Yarrowia lipolytica: one gene and its partners. The protein of the gene in region 3 purifies or fractionates together with the protein of the main gene of each other region. This does not show direct contact. Links are inferred from orthologs where the notes say so. Each region holds a gene or a part of one and is shown on either strand. Other genes may lie near its edges.

What was found.
Region 1: the proteins of YALI1_D21076g (region 3) and YALI1_C05636g purify together in Saccharomyces cerevisiae (affinity purification with mass spectrometry; 5 studies listed by BioGRID). This does not show direct contact. The link is inferred for Yarrowia lipolytica from reciprocal best matches to the Saccharomyces cerevisiae genes NOP56 and ENP1.
Region 2: the proteins of YALI1_D21076g (region 3) and YALI1_D35148g purify together in Saccharomyces cerevisiae (affinity purification with mass spectrometry; 5 studies listed by BioGRID). This does not show direct contact. The link is inferred for Yarrowia lipolytica from reciprocal best matches to the Saccharomyces cerevisiae genes NOP56 and ECM16.
Region 4: the proteins of YALI1_D21076g (region 3) and YALI1_A21630g purify together in Saccharomyces cerevisiae (affinity purification with mass spectrometry; 3 studies listed by BioGRID). This does not show direct contact. The link is inferred for Yarrowia lipolytica from reciprocal best matches to the Saccharomyces cerevisiae genes NOP56 and RRP9.

What each region holds. Positions count from the first base shown.
Region 1 is NC_090772.1:561,534-565,274, reverse strand, and holds YALI1_C05636g (uncharacterized protein), read left to right. Parts: upstream 1-1,670; coding exon 1,671-2,942; downstream 2,943-3,741. Other genes in the region: YALI1_C05649g (uncharacterized protein), read right to left, coding at 1-335. UniProt on the Saccharomyces cerevisiae protein: Required for normal export of the pre-40S particles from the nucleus to the cytoplasm.
Region 2 is NC_090773.1:3,512,904-3,519,391, reverse strand, and holds YALI1_D35148g (uncharacterized protein), read right to left. Parts: upstream 4,663-6,488; coding exon 4,402-4,662; intron 4,294-4,401; coding exon 772-4,293; downstream 1-771. Other genes in the region: YALI1_D35190g (uncharacterized protein), read right to left, coding at 1-457; YALI1_D35143g (uncharacterized protein), read left to right, coding at 5,189-6,340. UniProt on the Saccharomyces cerevisiae protein: Probable ATP-binding RNA helicase. Required for 18S rRNA synthesis. May play a role in restructuring of the pre-rRNA.
Region 3 is NC_090773.1:2,105,591-2,109,850, forward strand, and holds YALI1_D21076g (uncharacterized protein), read right to left. Parts: upstream 2,044-4,260; coding exon 511-2,043; downstream 1-510. Other genes in the region: YALI1_D21044g (uncharacterized protein), read left to right, coding at 1-199. UniProt on the Saccharomyces cerevisiae protein: Required for 60S ribosomal subunit synthesis.
Region 4 is NC_090770.1:2,161,248-2,165,092, forward strand, and holds YALI1_A21630g (uncharacterized protein), read left to right. Parts: upstream 1-1,677; coding exon 1,678-3,159; downstream 3,160-3,845. Other genes in the region: YALI1_A21617g (uncharacterized protein), read right to left, coding at 1-399; YALI1_A21620g (uncharacterized protein), read left to right, coding at 720-1,445. UniProt on the Saccharomyces cerevisiae protein: Involved in nucleolar processing of pre-18S ribosomal RNA. Required for efficient pre-rRNA cleavage at sites A0, A1 and A2, and biosynthesis of 18S rRNA.

The DNA of each region.
Region 1 (3,741 bases), on a different chromosome or scaffold from region 3:
CAATGCTTCTCTATCCCCTTAAGAGCCTCGGCCTTCTCCTTGGCCGTCTTCTCCTGGATTAGCTCCAATTCATGCTGATACTCCTTCTCATACTCCTGCTGGGTTTCCAGATCAGAATCCGCGTCGGGATCAAACTCCGACTCGGTGGGCTCGAGGTCGGACATTTCTGCCTCCCGGCCAAGCTCCTTGAGCCGTCGCTTCTCAATGTTCCGGGCTCTTCGAGCGGCACGTCGTTCGTTCTGCGCCTGTCTTCGGGCCTCTCGTCGTGCGTTTCGTCTAGCCCGAGCCTCATCCGTGCTCATCCCCTTCGCAACGTTTGCCAGTAGTAAGACCATCGTGTGTTATGTCTGTTCTGTATGTGTGTCTGTGAGTCTGTGTGTGTCTGTGGTTGTGTCTCTGTGAACGTGCGTGTGTGTAGAAAGGCGTGTCTGAAGTGACTGACGTAAGAGATACAGTTGCCAATGCTTTCAATCACTGCCTCTCCTTTTAACCAAGCCAAGCCCAGTAGTTGCTGTTGATATAGTGAACTCAAAAGAAAGAGGAGAGCCAAAATTAAAAAGCAATGCATGATGCGATGAGCTCAACAGAAGGGCTTAAAACTGCTCCAGCCGCCCCATGTGATCGTGAAAGTCACGTGATTAGACCTATACTACCACTTAGAAGCTGTCTATCAACTCCATACCCCTGAAAAATAGCTTCCCGGATCCAATACGGCCATCCTCCATGTTGCTGACTCGCAAACTCTATCGAACCGTTGAGAATGTACCGTTAGCCGGCTCGGAAGAGACCCAAAGGTGAGCAGCAATGGGGCTGGTTATTTTAGTCACGTGACCGTTTAAAAGGGATTAGGAAAAGTCAAAGGTGAGCAGCAATGGGGCTGGTTATTTTAGTCACGTGACCGTTTAAAAGGGATTAGGAAAAGTCGAATCTCTTTTCTGTTGACTACCATTTTTCCTTCGCTAAGGTTTCTGAAATTTCACCCGTTTACAAGTATCGTACAAGTAGTACCCCTTATCCCTGTTAAAACTGTGAACCCAGTTCAACTCGTACCCCTTTGACTTGCAGTTGGTTACTCGGAATTCTGGTGAAAATGCATTATATGTACAGTATTCAGTCAATTGCATGAGAAAAAAAGAAGTGAATCTGTTTCCGGCTAGTTGTGGAGGTATGATGACGTCAAGCAACAGGAACATGAACATCGAGTATACACATAGAAGTACATACTGTCCATACTGTAGTAGCCAATGTTCACCATAAACTGTCGAACTGGAATTTCACTCATAAGTAGCTATTCATACTTCTAGCACCATCGCAATCACCATAATGAGAAATCTTGCGCATCTTAATGGCGAACGTGAAATCTATAATCAGTTCCAGGTTGTCGTCGTCTGGCATTATGGACTGATAAATAAGATTATATCCTAACCCTATAGTTACTCTGAATCTCGGAATAGTGGCGAATACATAAAATTCTCATACCATTCGCACCAACGTTCTCTCTGCAAAAATCCGATCAAAACGAATATAATCTCGTTTCACCAAATTTTAGTCCCCTCGATTTGTGTCACGTGACAACCTTATTTTGGAACGTTAAAAAATTGTGCATGCTGCATACGGTTTGGCATATTTTTTAATCCCACCATATCACCAACACCACGCACCGCACAACCATGGGAAAAGCTGATACTAAAGACGCCAAGGTGCGACACAGCCCGCTTCATGTCGACATGAGCCAGGGCAGCGGACTTCTTCGAGAATCCGCCAAGCAGAAGACTTCCCGAAACACCAAGAAGACCGATGCTGCAGAGGAGGATTTTATTGATTCGGCCACTTCGCGACGAATTCTGCAGATGGCACGGGATCAGCAGCGAGAGCTGGATGAGGAGGAGCGAGGCGAGGAGTTTCCCGAGGATGACGATGTGGAATTCGAGGACGAAGACGAGGAGGAGGATGAGGAGGAGTACGAGGAGTACGAGGATGTGCAACAGGAGTTTATGACCCCTGAGGATGCTGCTCTGTACGCGAAGTACTTCAATGAGGACGAGCCTGTTTCTCTGGCCGATAAGATCATGGCCAAGATTCGAGAGAAGGAAGAGGAGGAGCAGTTTGAGCGAACTGGAGAGGCCCCTGGAACCTCCCAGGGTTTGGAGGGAGAGGGAGTCATGCTTCCACCCAAGGTCATTGCAGTCTACGAGAAGGTCGGAGAGCTTCTGAGCCGATACAAGTCTGGAAAGCTGCCCAAGGCATTCAAGATTGTGCCTACGCTGCGAAACTGGCAGGATGTTCTGTACGTGACCGATCCTGCTAGCTGGTCTCCCAACGCAATCTACGAAGGAACAAAGATGTTTGTGTCCAACCAGCAGGCTAAGGAGGCCCAGAAGTTCATCCAGATTGTGCTGCTGGAGCGATTCAAGGAGGAGATTGAAGAGAAGAAGACCCTAAACTACCACGTTTATCGATCCCTGAAGAAGGCTCTGTATAAGCCTTCTGCCTTCTTCAAGGGTTTCCTGTTCCCTTTGGCTGAGCAATGCACACTCAAGGAGGCCATCATTGTCAGCTCCATTCTGTCCAAGGTCTCTATCCCCACTTTGCATTCTGCTGCTGCTCTCATGAGACTGGCTGAGATGCCTTATTCCGGCCCCACTTCTCTGTTCATCAAGGTGCTGCTCGACAAGAAGTACGCTCTGCCCTACCGAGTCGTTGACGCCGTGGTCTTCCATTTCATGCGTTTCGCTCACGTTGAAGAGGCTCTCCCCGTCATCTGGCATCAGTCCCTTCTGGTCTTTGCCCAGCGATACAAGAGTGATATCACGGAGGATCAGCGAGACGCTCTTCTGGATGTCATCAAGGTCAAAAACCATCCCAAGATTACACCTGAAATTCGACGAGAATTGATTTCTGGCGAGTCTCGACCTATTGTGGATGAGCAGATGGAGGTTTAACTAACGGAAAAAGGACTATAATAGATGTATGTAGCATAATTAGAGATGGTTGATTGGTATAGAGCGTTGCTAGCGGTGTTTGCGTGTACACGGTGGGGTTTTAGTTAGTGTAAAGACAGTATGGATGTGAAAATGTACAACAGTACGATACTAGAGGTGCACCATAACGACAAGAGAGGAAAAGACGTATTTTATTGCACAAATATGAGTGCCAGAAAGCGCAAAGGAACCTATTCGCCCTACATCCTCAAACCCTTCGACTTCAACCAAAAAGTAGCTATTCAAACCAACATGGTTCGAAGGGTGTAATCCGATTGAGCCACATGGAGACAAGTTTTCGTTAAATGGACTTCTTACATGGTTTTATTGTGGTTGAAATAATGTAATAATCGACTTCTTTGGTCCTTCTGGGTCGAATCTGAGATCTTTGGATTTTCATGGATTCAGGCTACAAATGAGATTTCATGGATTGAGAATGTATGGGGCCAATCACTTGGCGATATGGGTAATTGATGGATTGGTAAAGAATCTAGACTGTTTTTATTATCAAGTCAGTGGTCTCACTCAAGTAACTGATATTGGTGTGTAGTTATCAACTAACATTACTTAACAGTAGAACTGAAAACAGAAGGAATCTGGGATACGAAGATATTTTCGTCAAAACCCAGATTCTGGGTAGCATTAGGGAACAAATACTGCAGCTTTAGGTATTCCCTTATCCTCTCGGATGCTCCTATCCCTCCTTTACACTCATATCCGCTCAAGTAACGTCAAGTATTATACCAAGTAATTTAGCTCA
Region 2 (6,488 bases), about 1.4 Mb from region 3:
TATCCCTAGCTAGGTACCGGCCCTTGAGTCTCTCGTATCGCGCATCCAACTTCTCCTTCACATATGGCACCACAATGAGGAAAAAGAGTGATCCCCAGATTTTCTTCTTGCTCAGCCGTTTTTCAGCCTCGACCAGATCCGGCACGGCCTGGCGTGTTCTCAGTGCGGGATTCGTCAGGATCTGTGTTCGTTTCAGACCGTAGAACTTTTCTGTGAAGCTGGCATTCCATGTCTTGAGATTATAGTACTCCACCAGACCCATGAACAACGCGTACAGCTCGTCGTAGCGGTTGACGATTCGCAGTAGATACCGCGGATGTCTCTGGGCGTAGAATGCAAGAATATATCGAACCGAAGGGGCAATCAGACCCTCCAGCTGTTTAGCAGACAGAAGCTCAAACAGTGTGGGCACATCAGGATCCAGCTGGCTCGCGTTGAGTGACGAAAAGTAGTCCATTTTTTGTCGTGAGGAAAGGTCGTTTTGGGTTGATATGATATGATCAGGTTCCAATCGTTTGGCTTAACAATGATCAACCGCCGTATTGCTGGTTGTCTGGTGCTGTGGGGGCAAATCAGTCTTCCCTTCTTTCATGTTCAACTTTATGTGGGGTATGGATGCACAAACCTAATTACTTACCGAGGATGTAAAAAGTGCTTAGTAAGTGCTGTAGCTACGAAGTGAAGATACAGTGTGTTTCCCTAAAATTATGAAGAAATCTAATACAATATAAACATGCTATGGTTTTTGTTCGTTTGTTGCTATGGCAATTTTTACAAGGTAACCCACTGGCTACCCTTCTTCTCCTGTTTCACCTTAATAGGAGGCAGATCCCATCCAGTGCCTCCAGAGCCAATAGCAGCTCCCAGCCGAGGAACCACCCAACACTCTCGAGAGGTACTGGTGATCATCTTGGGGCCGTAGGGGGGAGGCAGGGGCTTGGAGTATGTGAGTAGAGCAGTGCCCTTGGCAATGTTGCCAATCTGGGCAGATGTGATATCACAGAGAGGCTTGATTCTCAGCTTGGAAGATCCCGATCGGTTGACGGAAGCAAATACCAACATTTCGGGAGGATGAGTTCCCATAGTGTTAATGACAGATCCGGGGTGAATGAACACCTGAGTGTCGTCAGGCAGAGGGTTTCCTTGGTCGTCAGTCTTCTTGTTGGTGGTGGAGGTGGGGAACAGAGTCTGGTAGGGAACGTTGATGATTCGCTCTCGAGAAGTGAGCTTGTAGTCCTCGCTGACCTTGTCCAGACGCTGAGCCACCTGGTCAACAAAACCAGTGGCAATCATCTGCTTGAGAGCCTTGATCTGGAGCTTAGAAGGAGGCTTGAGCTTGGCATTCAACTGTTCCTTGAGCATAGGAGCTGCTCGAGGGTCGGAGTTGGCCACAACGATTCGGCTCAGTTGCTGTCTCAGCTTTCGCATCTCCTCCATCAGCTTGTGTCGCAGGAAGAAGCCCTTGCAGAAGTTCTCCAGGTCGGAATCGTAGTCCATGGCGCAGACGGCAGAGAGCAGCTTCAGAGCGTCAGATGCAGGGTCCAGGGAGGCCAGCTTTGCCTGGGCCTTATGGTAGCTGGATCGCAGCTTTCGCTTTCGCTCAATCTCGTAAATGTCCTCGGGCTCGGAGTCAGACTCGTTGCTCTTAATCCGGTCTCCGTCTTCATCAACCTCCTCAACCTTGGGCTTCTGTGGTTTCTCATTGATGCCAAGCTCGTGCTCTCCAATGAAGGGATCTCCAACTGTGAGAGCAGCAACAATGGCAACCATGTAAGGCAGGCACTCGAGCTGAGAACCAATAATGAGCATCTTGGCGAATCGCGGGGACAGAGGGAACAGAGACATCTGCTTACCCATATCAGAAATAACACCAGTGTTGCTGAGGGCACCTAGGTACTCCAGCAGCTTCTCGGCCTTGGCCAGGGACTGTCTGTCGGGGGGAGTGGGGAAGGGGAAGTTGACCACCTTGTCAATACCCATGTGTTTCATCTCCAGAACAATGCCCTCAACAGGGCATCGGAGAATCTCGGGGATGGAGAATTGAGGGAAGAACTCCTCATAGACGGCAGATGAGAAGACACGGTAGCAGTGACCGGGACCAGTTCGACCGGCACGACCAGCTCGCTGATCGGCAGAAGCCTTGGAGATGAAATCAACCTCAAAGGACTGAACACCAGTCTCTTCATCGTACTTTCGCTCCTTTGCTCGACCACAATCAACCACATATCTGATACCAGGAATGGTCAGCGAAGTTTCAGCAACGTTAGTAGCAACGACACACAGTCGATGGCCGGCAGGAACCTCCTCAAACACCTTCATCTGCTCCTTGGTAGGCAGCAGAGAGTAAAGAGGAAGCACGTGCAGAGGAGCAGACTCATTTCGCTCCTCGACAGCAAGCTCCTCTTCGAAACCTTCTTCTCCGTCCTCCTCATCTGTCTCAGACTCTCCCTCGACAGCAGCATAGTCCTGTTGTCGCATATCGGCGCCAAAATCAACCTCCTCGGCCTCCACTACAGTCTCATTGGCAGACACCTTGACCTGGAGATCCTCAGACTTGTCCTTGGGCCGCCACACCTTAGTTCGATCAGGGAAGGCCTTCCGAAGCCGCTTGACCACGTTAACAATCTCGTTTTGGCCAGTCAGGAAGATCAGAATACCACCATCGGGCAGTCGTTTGTGGATCTTGCAGGTCTTTCGGTAGATCTCGTCCATGTAGTCGTAAGTTGTTCGTTTGTTGAAGTGGACAGAAACGGGATATTGTCGGGCCTCAACCTTGAGAACAGGAGGAGGAACTGGGAAAAGAGTCTTGTTCTCTGTGAAATCGGAAACCCGCAGAGTAGCAGACATGATAATGAGCTTGAGGGGAGACTCGCACTTGCCTTCGTTGAACATCTCCTTTCGCAACTTGAGAACTCGAGAAAGCACACCAATGAGAATATCAGTGTTGATGTTACGTTCATGGGCCTCATCAATTACCAGAGCAGAGTACTTGGTAAGAGCAAAGTCTTGGGACAGTTCTCGCAGCAACACACCATCAGTCATGAACTTGAGAGCTGTATTATCCTTCACGGTGACATCGAATCGCACCTGATGGGCAACTCTATCACCTTGGTTACCCAACTCGTTAGCAACACGTTGCGCCATAGAGATGGCGGCCACTCGTCGAGGCTGGGTGACACCGATCATACCAGGGTAGTCACTACCCTTCGTTCCGAAACCCGCCTCGATCAGGAATTGAGGAGTCTGTGTAGTCTTACCTGAACCAGTTTCACCACAGATGATGACACAATCGTTGTTGAAAATGGCTTCCATGATTCTCTGTTCTTCTCCGGTGACAGGAAGGTTCATTCGGGAGGTCTGGATTTCAGGGTCTCGCTGAACGTTGACATAAAAGGCCTTTCTTTTGGCGTACTCGGGTTGGGCAATGTCTTCGGGAGGAGGAGTAAGGCGGTCCTCGTCTCTGTCCACTCTTTCTTTCTTGATCTTGATATGCGAGAGATCCTCGATGTTGGAAGACTTGGGTCCAGACTGTTCATCGATCCATTCCTTGAAAGAAGAACCCTTTGTCTTTTTGGTGACGATTTCGGTATACTCGTCATCTTCCTCGTCTTCCTCTTCCTCGTCCTCATCTTCGTCCTCATCTTCGTCCTCATCCTCCTCCTCCTGCTCGTCTTCATCTTCTTCCTCTTCCTCGACATCTTCCTCGATCTCCTCCTCGGCAGCCGCCTTCACTTTTTTGGTGCCTTCCTCTTCTGACTCCTCAGACTCCTCATCCGAATCCTCGTCTGAATCTTCGTCAGAATCCTCCTCATCAGAATCGGTATCGTCGTCCTCCCCGGAGCTAACGTAGTCCTTCTTGTTCTTTCGAGCACGCTCAATCTCGAGCTTCTTTCGCCAAGAGTAAGAGTTTTTTGCGGGCTTGGAAACCTTGGCCAGGTTCTGGAAACCGAAACCACCACCAGCCTTGGGTCGCATGTCAATGAATGAGCTTTTGTTCTCCTGCTCTTCCTCTTCGGCCATTTGCTTCTCCTTTCGCTCCAGCTCAGTCAGGAGATGAGAATGCTTCTCGTCATCCCACTCTTCGTGATCGTGTTTCTCGTACAGAATCTCCTTGGTCTCCTCATTACCGAGACCCAGTTTCTCCAGACGCAAAGCTTCCTCGATCCGGGCTTTTTTGGTTTCCTTGTCACCCATGTGTTTCATAGACTTGAGCTGAGATGTATCAAAGGTGCCCTTTCGAGCAGCAAACTCGGAAAACAATGCCTTCTTCTCTTCTCTCTTGAGTTGTTTTTCCTGAGTTAGTATGTAATCATAAGCGCAGCGAATGTCCTTGGTTCAGCTAATCTGGTTCAGCTAATCTGGTTAAGCTAAACCTGCGACGTATCCTCGTGTCATACTCACAATGTACTTGTCTAGACGCTTTCGCTTCTTTGAAGTCATCTTGCTCTCCGTAGGTGTGAGCTCTTCCTGGAGCTTTCTCTTTCGAGCCTCCTTCTCGGCCTCACTCTTGGGCACCATGAGCTCGGCATTGGCGTCTTCTTCCTCCTCCTCTGCTGTAGGCTTCTTGACCCAGGTTTTCTGCTTGGCGGCCTTGAGCTCCTGCTGCTTCTTCAGCGAGCCGGCTCGGGCCTTTGCGTTGTATCCTAGCTTGTATTTCGCCATAGTTGAAGCGATGGGTTGAATCAGCTTCACGCAGGTTATGCTATATTGCCCAATTTTTTCTGATTGTGCATGATGTATGCGCGGTCATGTGATGTGGCTGTTGGGAGGAGACAGGTTCTTTTTCTATAATAACTTGAAGTAAATGTTCACGTAATATATGTTTTTCTTTGAGAGTCTCAGTTATAAACCAAACTGCAGTTCACATAATTATAAACAATAAAATTTTGGTTCCCAAAAATTGGCATCGATTTTTGAGGGGCGAAAATAGTACGAGCCGCAAGTGAGGTGGTCTCAGTAGAAAAATGAAAGGTGTAATTAAAAGAGACACATTTATATTAAATGATGGTTACATAGTGTGCACACTGAGCCCTAGTATGTTATACACCATTCTCGTTAGTAATTGCTCTACAAGTAATCTATTACACATCCGCCTCATGGGTCTTTAAGCGCGACGTTGAAGCGTGCATGACTGTTCTGTGGTGACGAGAAACGAAGTCCTTCAACATAGACAACATCTTCTCCTGGCATGCCAACACTAATGCACGACGACCCCTTGGACGATGAGGAGGAAGAAGAGCCTCCACGAAACATTGGACGGGTGGTCTTTGGCCCTCGTGAATTCGACACGTGGTACCACTCGTCGGCATACTATTTTTCACAGAAGGACGAACTCAAGAAGTTGACCTGGAAGCGGGCCATGGCGTTGATGGAGGCCAAGGCCCTCGACAAGGACAAGGACAATCACACCTGCGACATGTCCCGGCTCTTCATTGAGCGCTACAGCTCTCCGTCTGTTGGCACACCTGGAGGAACCTCTTCTGCATTAACATCCTCAACCATTTCGTCCTCTGGATCATCAGCAAACGCATCTGTGGCCCCCAATGACCAACCACCAGCCCAGGTCGACTTCCAGGTCAAACAGCTGTTTGTCTGCGACTCGTGTTTCAAATACTCGAAGGTCTCCAAGGACATGGCCCAACACCGAAGCACCTGCAAGTATGTGTTCAAGCACCCCGGAGAGACGGTTTACAAATCGAAAGACTATGCCATTCGCCGTGTTGATGGCGCCGTTCACAAGCTCTACTGCCAGAATCTCTGTCTGTTCGCGAAGCTCTTCCTGGACCACAAGTCTGTGTTCTTCGGCGCCGATGCCTTTGAATTTTATGTTGTGCTCGGCAAGGATACCGCCAGCAGCAGGCACTTTAAACCCATGGGCTTCTTCTCCAAGGAGAAACTGTCGTGGGACGAAAACAATCTGGCTTGCATTCTGGTATTTCCTCCGTATCAAAGGCGAGGGCTGGGCAAACTGCTGATCGAGTTTTCATACGTGCTGTCGAAGTACGAAGGCCGTAAAGGAAGTCCAGAGCGACCGCTGTCGAAGTTCGGCACTTTATCATATATGTCTTACTGGTGTACTACGATAGCCCGGTTCATCTTGATAGAGTGTACAGAAGACGTCATCACGATTGAGACGATCAGCGAACATACTTATATCCAGCCGGAAGATGTGATGCGAGCACTCAAAGAAATGCATGCTGTAGTTCTCTACAGCGACGAAAAAGCCAAGAAGGTACAACTGGGAGGACGGGTTTTGAAGAAATCTGTTAGACGTTGGGTTAACAGTGGCAATGTGAAACTGAGCCCTGTGATTGACGAATCCATGGTGTTTTTGGAGTGACAAAGATGGAAGTTGATGTTACAGTCAAGACCTATTTAAGCCGCGAGCTACAGGTCTTCTGGCTGACTGGGTGCTACATTACTATGCCCCAGACCATATTGTTTCATGTAATGTACATATATTTATAATGCAAGGTGATAATGCCTGG
Region 3 (4,260 bases):
TCTCACCCGATGTCAGCAGTCACAGGTGCCTGCCACAGCACTAGTGGTCCAGAATGTGGGCACTCAGTCGTTCGAGCGATACCAGAGTGACACGTTCGAGGACCTGACTGGAATTCTCGCCGGAGTTTTCGGGCTCGACGCAGCAAAGGCGTTGAAGGAGTTGAGAGCAGATGATGGCGTTGCTGGACTGTACCTGTAGGAGGTCATGACTGCGTTGCAGAGGCGGTTTCGATGCGTCCACAACACAATTAGTATATTTGTCTTAGTATTGTACCTGATAAGGGCTCAGTGAACTTGTATGAGAATACCGCCTATGAAAACAGGCACAGCTGTAGTGCCTGAGACATGTCAGATACTTGTAGGTGTTATCACATTTCTCAGATTCCAGTCTTGTGGCAGTCTTCCCTCATTCTACGGTCGCAAAATCACATCATCTGGCAACCCTCACTGCATGCCAGATGTATGCAACTTTGCATCTTCACTTGTATTATCCGTTAAATATATACTACATTAATCCTTCTTTGACTTCTTCTTCTTAGGAGTCTCATCACCGCCCAAGCTCTTTCGCTTCTTGTCCTTCTTTTCCTTCTTGTCCTTCTTGTCCTTCTTCTCAGACTTGTCCTTCTTTTCCTTCTTTTCCTTCTTGTCCTTCTTTTCCTTCTTCTCCTTCTTGTCGGAATCGTCATCCATCTCAACGTCAGAGTCCTCATCGACCTCAACGTCGCCCATGTTGGCCAGAACCTCGTCCATGGCGTTCTTCATGGCATCGACGTTCTTGGTGGGGGCAACTCCGGTATCGTAGAAGGTGAGTCGCTCCTCGACCTGCTGCTTGAGGGCCTTTCCGAAGATGGAAGTGGGCACATCGGAGTAGTTGTCGATTCGAGATGCAATGGAACACTTGTTGGCGAGGAATCGGGAGATTCGGCCCTTGTTCTTGAGACCGGCCTTGCCGATGAAAGAAGAGTGGTAGATCAGACCGTATTTAGGGGTGTTTCCCTTGGTCTTAAGAGCTCGGAACAGAGCCTTCTCGGCACCGAGAATCTGGACAGTAGAGGCAGGGTACTTGGACAGGTTGGTAAGAGAACCGGCGTGAGAGATGAGTCGGGCACCAACAACCTCACCAATAAGCTCGGACAGGTTGGGAGCAATGGTGTTCATCTTCTCGGACAGGTAGCCGTAGAGCTTTCGTCGGTAGTCGGTGATGTTGACAACTCGCTCGGCGAAGGTGGTAACGTTGTCCATGTCAGCCTCGGAGATGTCCTGGCCCATGGAGATCTTGGAAGCGTCGATAATCTGCTGGGCAAGACCAGCATCGTCGTTCACGATGGCAGCAATGTCGTGCAGGGAGTCCTCGGACAGCTCGGACTTGTCCTTGATGTAGAGAGCGAGCTTGGCAAAGTTGTAGTTGTCGTTGACGAGCTTGGCGAGCTCGGGGAAGTGCCAGCCATACCACTCCTTGACTCGCATGGAGAAGGTGTTGATATCCTTGTCCAGCTGGTCCAGCAGCGCAATGGCCTGGATGATGTGGTTGTCGTTCTTGTTGACGGAGAACTTGACCTTGGCTCGGGAGTAGGCGTGGCCCAGACCAAGCTGAGCTCGCTCAAGATCGCCAGAGTCAAGCTGCTCCAGGAACCGGTCGCCAAACAAACGGATTCCTCGCTGGAGATCGTGGACGGCCTCGTTGGAGACACACTCGACGTTGGGGAGAGCCTCCTTTATGCTCTGGCCCAGGTTCTTGTCACTGATACCAAGCACAATCTTCTTCTTCTTGGATCCCTCAGGCAAGTTGAGCTCGAGCAGGGACTTGAGGTGGTCGTTGCAGATACCCTCGGAAATATCGTTGGCGTTCTCCAGAGCATGGGCAGCACCCTTGAAGGGGGCAAAAGACACCAGCTTGACAAGCTTGGAAAACTTGTTGAAGTCGGTACAAGACTCCTGGACCTCCTTGACTCGGGCGCCAATGTTCTCGGGCTGCAGCAGCACCTTGAACAGAGCGTAGCCAGAGGCCTCCTCGAAAAGTACGTAGTCGATTTGGTCCGACATGGTGTGTGTAGTGGTGTTGGACAAGTGTGTGGTTGGGAGAAAAGTGGACAGGAATATTTTTAAACGTCCTGCAGCGTCAGAAAAAATTGTGCAGAAAAAAATAGCCTTTTTACCCGGCCGTGGAGACTAGACGGGGGACAATAGTGGGTCGTTCGCAAATGGCCGTGGTGGTTCGTTTATGAGTAGGCGCCGTGATATGTTTATTGTTTAGAGGGTTAATGAGTGTGCCACTGAATTTTGGGCCACAGGTCTCAGCTGCGTGTGTTGTTTAGTTCGGATTGGTTTGGCATGTAGTTTGACCGACTTCGGAGTAGACCTACGAGCAACTTGTTCCAAAAAGGGGCTGAAAAGTCGCCATTTTTACACTGCAATGGATGGATATTATGAGAAAAATGGTTGATCCAGATGTATAATGGCCGGTTGGCATCTTTACCGTATCAGTTTTATGTCTATATGGCGACATTATCTGGCCGTGCTGAGCAGTAACCAGAGATCGATGCAACCCAAACATTATCTGATAGAGTCCAGCATATAACGTCTTCGACTGGGCGTGACAAAAGCAGATATTGACATATAGAAAGCTTTTGGTATATCTTTGGGCATACTGAAAGTTCGAGAAGCTATTTCTAGCCTTTCTGATCTCAGAGATAATGACTATAGCTCGTCCAATATCGCACACAACGTACCTCGGATCAAAGTTACTGTTGACAATCTGGGTACAGCAACAAGCAACGGTGAATGTGCCTTTAGAGCAGTCTTCGAGAAGCGAATTTTTTACTGGGGGATCTTGGAGTTTGGAATACCTGGTTTACGTCTTTTCTACTCAGATTCGGGGAAACAGGGGTCTGTTGACGAAGGCTTCCTGGTGTCTAAAAAAAATACGATTAGGTTTGGAGGTGTTGTAGCATGTCGATGTTAGTAGTTGTGATAGAGGAGTTTTGCACTCGTTGTAGGACAGTTTGGGCGAAGGGTACTTGTTGCATCAGTTTTACATCCGAATATTAATAAATTCCGCAAATAATAGCAGATTTTGGTCACATTACCCAAGAGAGTCCTTTTTTTTTTTTTTTTTTTTTTTTTTTTTTTGGCCATTTTGGGACAGGTAATTCAGGTGTAGCATCAGCGAATGTTCAACTTCTGTGGTGGACTGTCGGCATGGAATCCAACAAAGGAGCTGATATACAGAAACGTTTTCGGCTGATCTTGGAGATGGTACCAATCTCGTATTCATCGCTACACTGTCTCCTGTTCACATTCACCATCCCCATACTTCTCTGTGTCTGTCCAATGGCGGTGAGTGGAGGTCGTTCATTCGCACATATAGGACCACGAGAGTTCTGGAGAGTTCTGGAGAGTTCTGGAGAGTTCTGGAGAAGTTTTTAAAGGGTTTCCATCGCTAAAAGTTTTTGGCAACTAGCGTCCAAGTTTCTGGCAGAAACTGAGCGTCGTGTTCTGCTTACAGCATCTAAACTGGACACCCATGGGCTACAGTACAAGTTCTTATGGAACTATCCCATTGAGAGTTGAGAATCTCCTTCTGTGACCCGCAAATCAGAATCCGTTATCTCTTGCCGTTGAGATTCACTCAGATCATTCCATAACAAGTACCTGTACAAGCCATGGTAGGTACAGTGCCACTTGATTTACTACGACTACTTCGAATTATCACAATAACTAGCGAAAATGAAGATTAAATCGAAGAAAAGAGCGTGATATTCGAAGATCGCGAATAGCTACAGAAACACATTCTTATCATCTACTGTAGTGTATTCTCACCATTCACCCTCACATCATACCCATCATGATCAATACTTGACTAGCTAGTGTATGAGAAACAAGCATCGTAACCACTTTTCATAACCACTCTTCATGACCACTCTTCATAACTAGTATCTCCGGGGTCCACCACAGAAAGAGCTACTTGTAGCAACTTCACCCACCCTAGAATCAATATCCCTACATCTGAGTGCCGGTATCTGCTAATGCGCTCATATGTCATTCCTGCATATTGGATGATGCGGATGGTGCGGAATATGATAATACCGGACTTATATCCATGGGTTCTGTTGAAGCTGAGAAAGTGAGACCGACTGTTGCGAAAAGGCTTAGTAATCAGTTCCAAGGACACCCCTTCTCCACGCCTTCTCCACAAACGCGTGTAATATACCTCCAAAACCTCACTCATGAGCTCTCCCGCAAGACCGTCATTTACTTAGC
Region 4 (3,845 bases), on a different chromosome or scaffold from region 3:
GAAACTTAGTCCGAAATTGATGAGACCAATCGACATGACAGATTGGACTCCGTAGCCGGCGTTGGGGTATCCCAGCTTCGTGTCATTCTGGTTGGCTCCGTATAGAAAGCCTTCCAGCATGAGGGTGGAGAAGGAAGTTAGAGAACCACAGAAGCCCGTGCCTATGCCTAAAAACAGCGGCAACTGTTTCTTTGTCACTCCACGTTCTTTTTCCACGTTTTCAAACAGATTTGTGGCATTTACCCACCCCATGACTATGCAGCCTCCGAAATTGGCCCATACCAATCCGGACTCGGTGAACGAGCCATGGAAGAGTGTCAGGTGCTCTATACCCTCACGGGCTATAGCTCCGGCCATGGCAAACACGGCTATGTTGAGATAAGTCAGAGCCGCGTTCATTTCATTGTTGTATGTGTTGTTCCTGTTGGCGACCCTGAGAGGGAGGTTTGATGCGTCTCAACGATCCGATCCACTCTCGTTGTTTATGCTTAAGTGAGTCAACATCAAAACACGCCGCACCAAACAGATGTATGTGAGCTGTTACCGATTTGAGGTGTTACCGAATTTGTGCAAGAGCTTTAAAATAATTGAAAATCGACTCATTCGATTTTTTTGTTTACTTTGAACTTTCCTTTTCTCTCCAGCTACAGTATATAAATTTCAGTGTCTCCATCTTTCGTTTGGCCCTCGCCATCTGAGTCACGTGACTCCCAACCAACATGCATATATGCAAACCGTGTCCTGTGTGCGTACATACTGACAGTATAGCGACAGTCCAACCGCCATACACAATGTCTCTTCCATTCCCCGTCCAGATCGACAGAGACCGGATCTCGTCGGGAGACGACCTGTTGTCGCAGGAACTGACGCAATTCAAGGCGCTAGAGGACCTCAAGTCCGAGTTCGGCCAGTGGATCCAGATTCTTGAAAACGAGGTCGTGGAGCTCATCAACAAGGAGTACCAACAGTTTGTGGCGCTCGGAAACTCGGTCAGCGGTGGCAACAGCAAGGTGCAGGAGATCAAGCATCGATTGGTGCTGTTCCAACGCCAGGTGGAGCAGGTCAAGCAGGAGGTCGACGCTACAGCAGAACGGATTGCCAAGGTGCTGAAGAGCCAAAACCAACTGCTGGAGGAACGACAGCGCGCAATGGAACTCATTCTGTATATTCGGGCGTTCCAGGAGGTCGAGCTACGTGTCGGTCAAGTGGGAGGTGCTGATTCGTCTGACCCCGAGGAAGTGTTGGATCTGTCCAACCAGCTCATCAAGCTGCACGAGACCCGCAACGCCCATCCAGAGGCGGCAGTCATGAAATCGTCTGCATCCAGACTGACCACTTTATGTGGACTGGTCATCACAGCTCTGTGCAACAGTGCCAAAACGAACCAAGAAGAGGGTCTTGACTTGTTGCGACAGGTGCATGTTCTCCGGCGTTTGCAGATGTAACCACCCCTTTGTCGGTTGTATTGATATAGGTCAAATTATTTATTGTTTATCAACAATACGATTTTCGTAGCTTTCGTAGTTCTCACCTTTGGTACCATGGTTGCTTATTAAGTATTTGCTTATTAAGAACTCTATCAGACGTCCTACACCTTAAGTCTAATTTTTTCGAGGCTTGCATCAACAGAAAATTTATGCCATATCAACTCTGAAAATCCTCACACAAGACGATAGCATGGTTGATTCATTCTTTTCAAACCCGAAAAAGAGGAGCAAGGCCCCCAAGCGGGATGAGCGACGAGGCAAGAAGGCGGTCGCCAAACCCCAGCGCCCCAACGTGGCAGATGAAGACATTACTTCTGAGAGTGAAAATGAAGAGGAGCAGTTCTTTGAGAACCCCGACACGGCAAACTCCAGTGAGGACGAGGAGGAGACCCAGGCTGACAAGCGACGACGACTCGCCAACCAGTACCTGGAGAACCTGAAGGATGAGATGGGCGAGATAGGATTCGACGCTGCTGATCTTGATCGAGAGAATCTTTCAAGGCGCCTGGAGGAGGATGTGGCTGAGGATAAGGGTCTGATTTACCGATTCCTGGACGTCAAGGCCAACTCCTTTTCACGAGTTCACAAGAGCAGATTCCGACCAACCGCCGTGGCCTGTCGATACCCTTATGCCTACACAGTTGGACGAGATGTCGAGCTGGTCAAGTGGGATATCAGTGATGTGACTAAGCCTCGAGTGCTCAAGGTTGTTTATGGCAACCGTCACGCCTCCAAGGATGCCTTCAACCCCAAGGAGGATTACAAGGGCCACATTGACGACATTCTGTGTGTGGCAGTGTCTCCCGATGGCAAGTACGTTGCCACCGGATCCAAGGATAAGACCATCTGTGTCTGGGCAGCCGAGAGTCTGTCGTGCCTGCATGTTTTCCACACCCGAGATCGACGGGGAGTCGTCATGGGTCTGGCCTTTCGACGAAACACAAACCAGCTGTATGCTGCATGTGCTGATCTCAAGGTCCGAACCTTCTCTCTGGACCAAATGTCGCAAGTGGAGACGCTTTTCGGTCATCAGGATGTGGTTGCAGACATTTCGGCTCTGGCTGGCGAGAGATGCCTGACTGTGGGCTCTCGAGACCGAACTGCTGTGGTGTGGAAGATTGCTGACGAGTCGCGTCTGACTTTCCGGGGAGGAGACATCAAGGACTTCCCCGAGGGCTCCATCGACTGCTGTTCCATGATTGATTCACACTACTTCGTCACGGGCTCAGACAACGGCTCCATTTGTCTGTGGTCCCTGAGCAAGAAGAAGCCTGTCTTCATTGAGAGACGAGCGCATGGAGTTGAGGAGAGACCCGAGACTGATCTTCCACATACCGGAGAGGCTGAGGCCGACAAGGTGCCTCTCCCTGCCCAATCTCCCCGATACATTACTGCAATCCACGCCATCCCCTACTCAGACATTTTCCTTACCGGATCATGGAGTGGAGAGATCAAGGTGTGGAAGCTGGGATCCGAGATGCGGTCTTTCACCCAGATTGCCACTCTGCCCAATGTCAAGGGCGTGGTGGACTCTATCGATGTCAGTGAGCACGGATCTCGAGGCAAAGAGGTTTTCGCCGTGGTTGCTGCGGTCTCCAAGCAGCTGCGAATCGGCCGGTTCCTCAACGTGGGAGGAAGAAATGGTTTGTACACTGGAGAATTGGTCTTGTAAGCATGTGAAGGGAGGACTAGAGCATTAATAGAAAACGGTTGCTAAGCGACTGTAAGGATTGAATAAATCGATGTATATGAAATTGTGTCAGAGTGCGTATAATTAAGTAAATAGTTCAAGACTGAACGATGAGAACATGTGTTATCCACGGTTCATTCTGAGAAAAACAGTAAACATGATAGTGTAAAAGTCAGACAGACGATATGACGTCACAGTCATGGGCTGATAGTAACTTGTTCTGAGTGTAGTTATCCTGCCGCTGTTCATCACCCAGTAATATCACATTATTTCGCAATTAATTAATTAGGCTTTAGTTGAAGAACAATTTTACAGTCAACAGTGTAAATACATTGTTCCTTGGAAAATTGAGAGAAATGAAGTATGTTATTATGTAGAGAAAGTGTCTTTTGATCTATTTATGAGACTACTGTAAAAGTACAAGTACAAGTCCAAATAATTCGCCAATTGCAGGTCCACAAAAATTGGATCTTCCTATTTACAAGTACAGTACATACAGTACTTGTACTTGTACTTGTAGATTTGTTCAGCTAGCAACAATCATATCACCTTGAACTAGAAGCTGTAATTAGCGCCATGGACACCTAAGTCTTTCGCAGCTCTTGTCAGATATTGTTGTCTCAGAGTCTTACAATTCTCCAGATCAAGATTTTTCTTCAAAACACGAG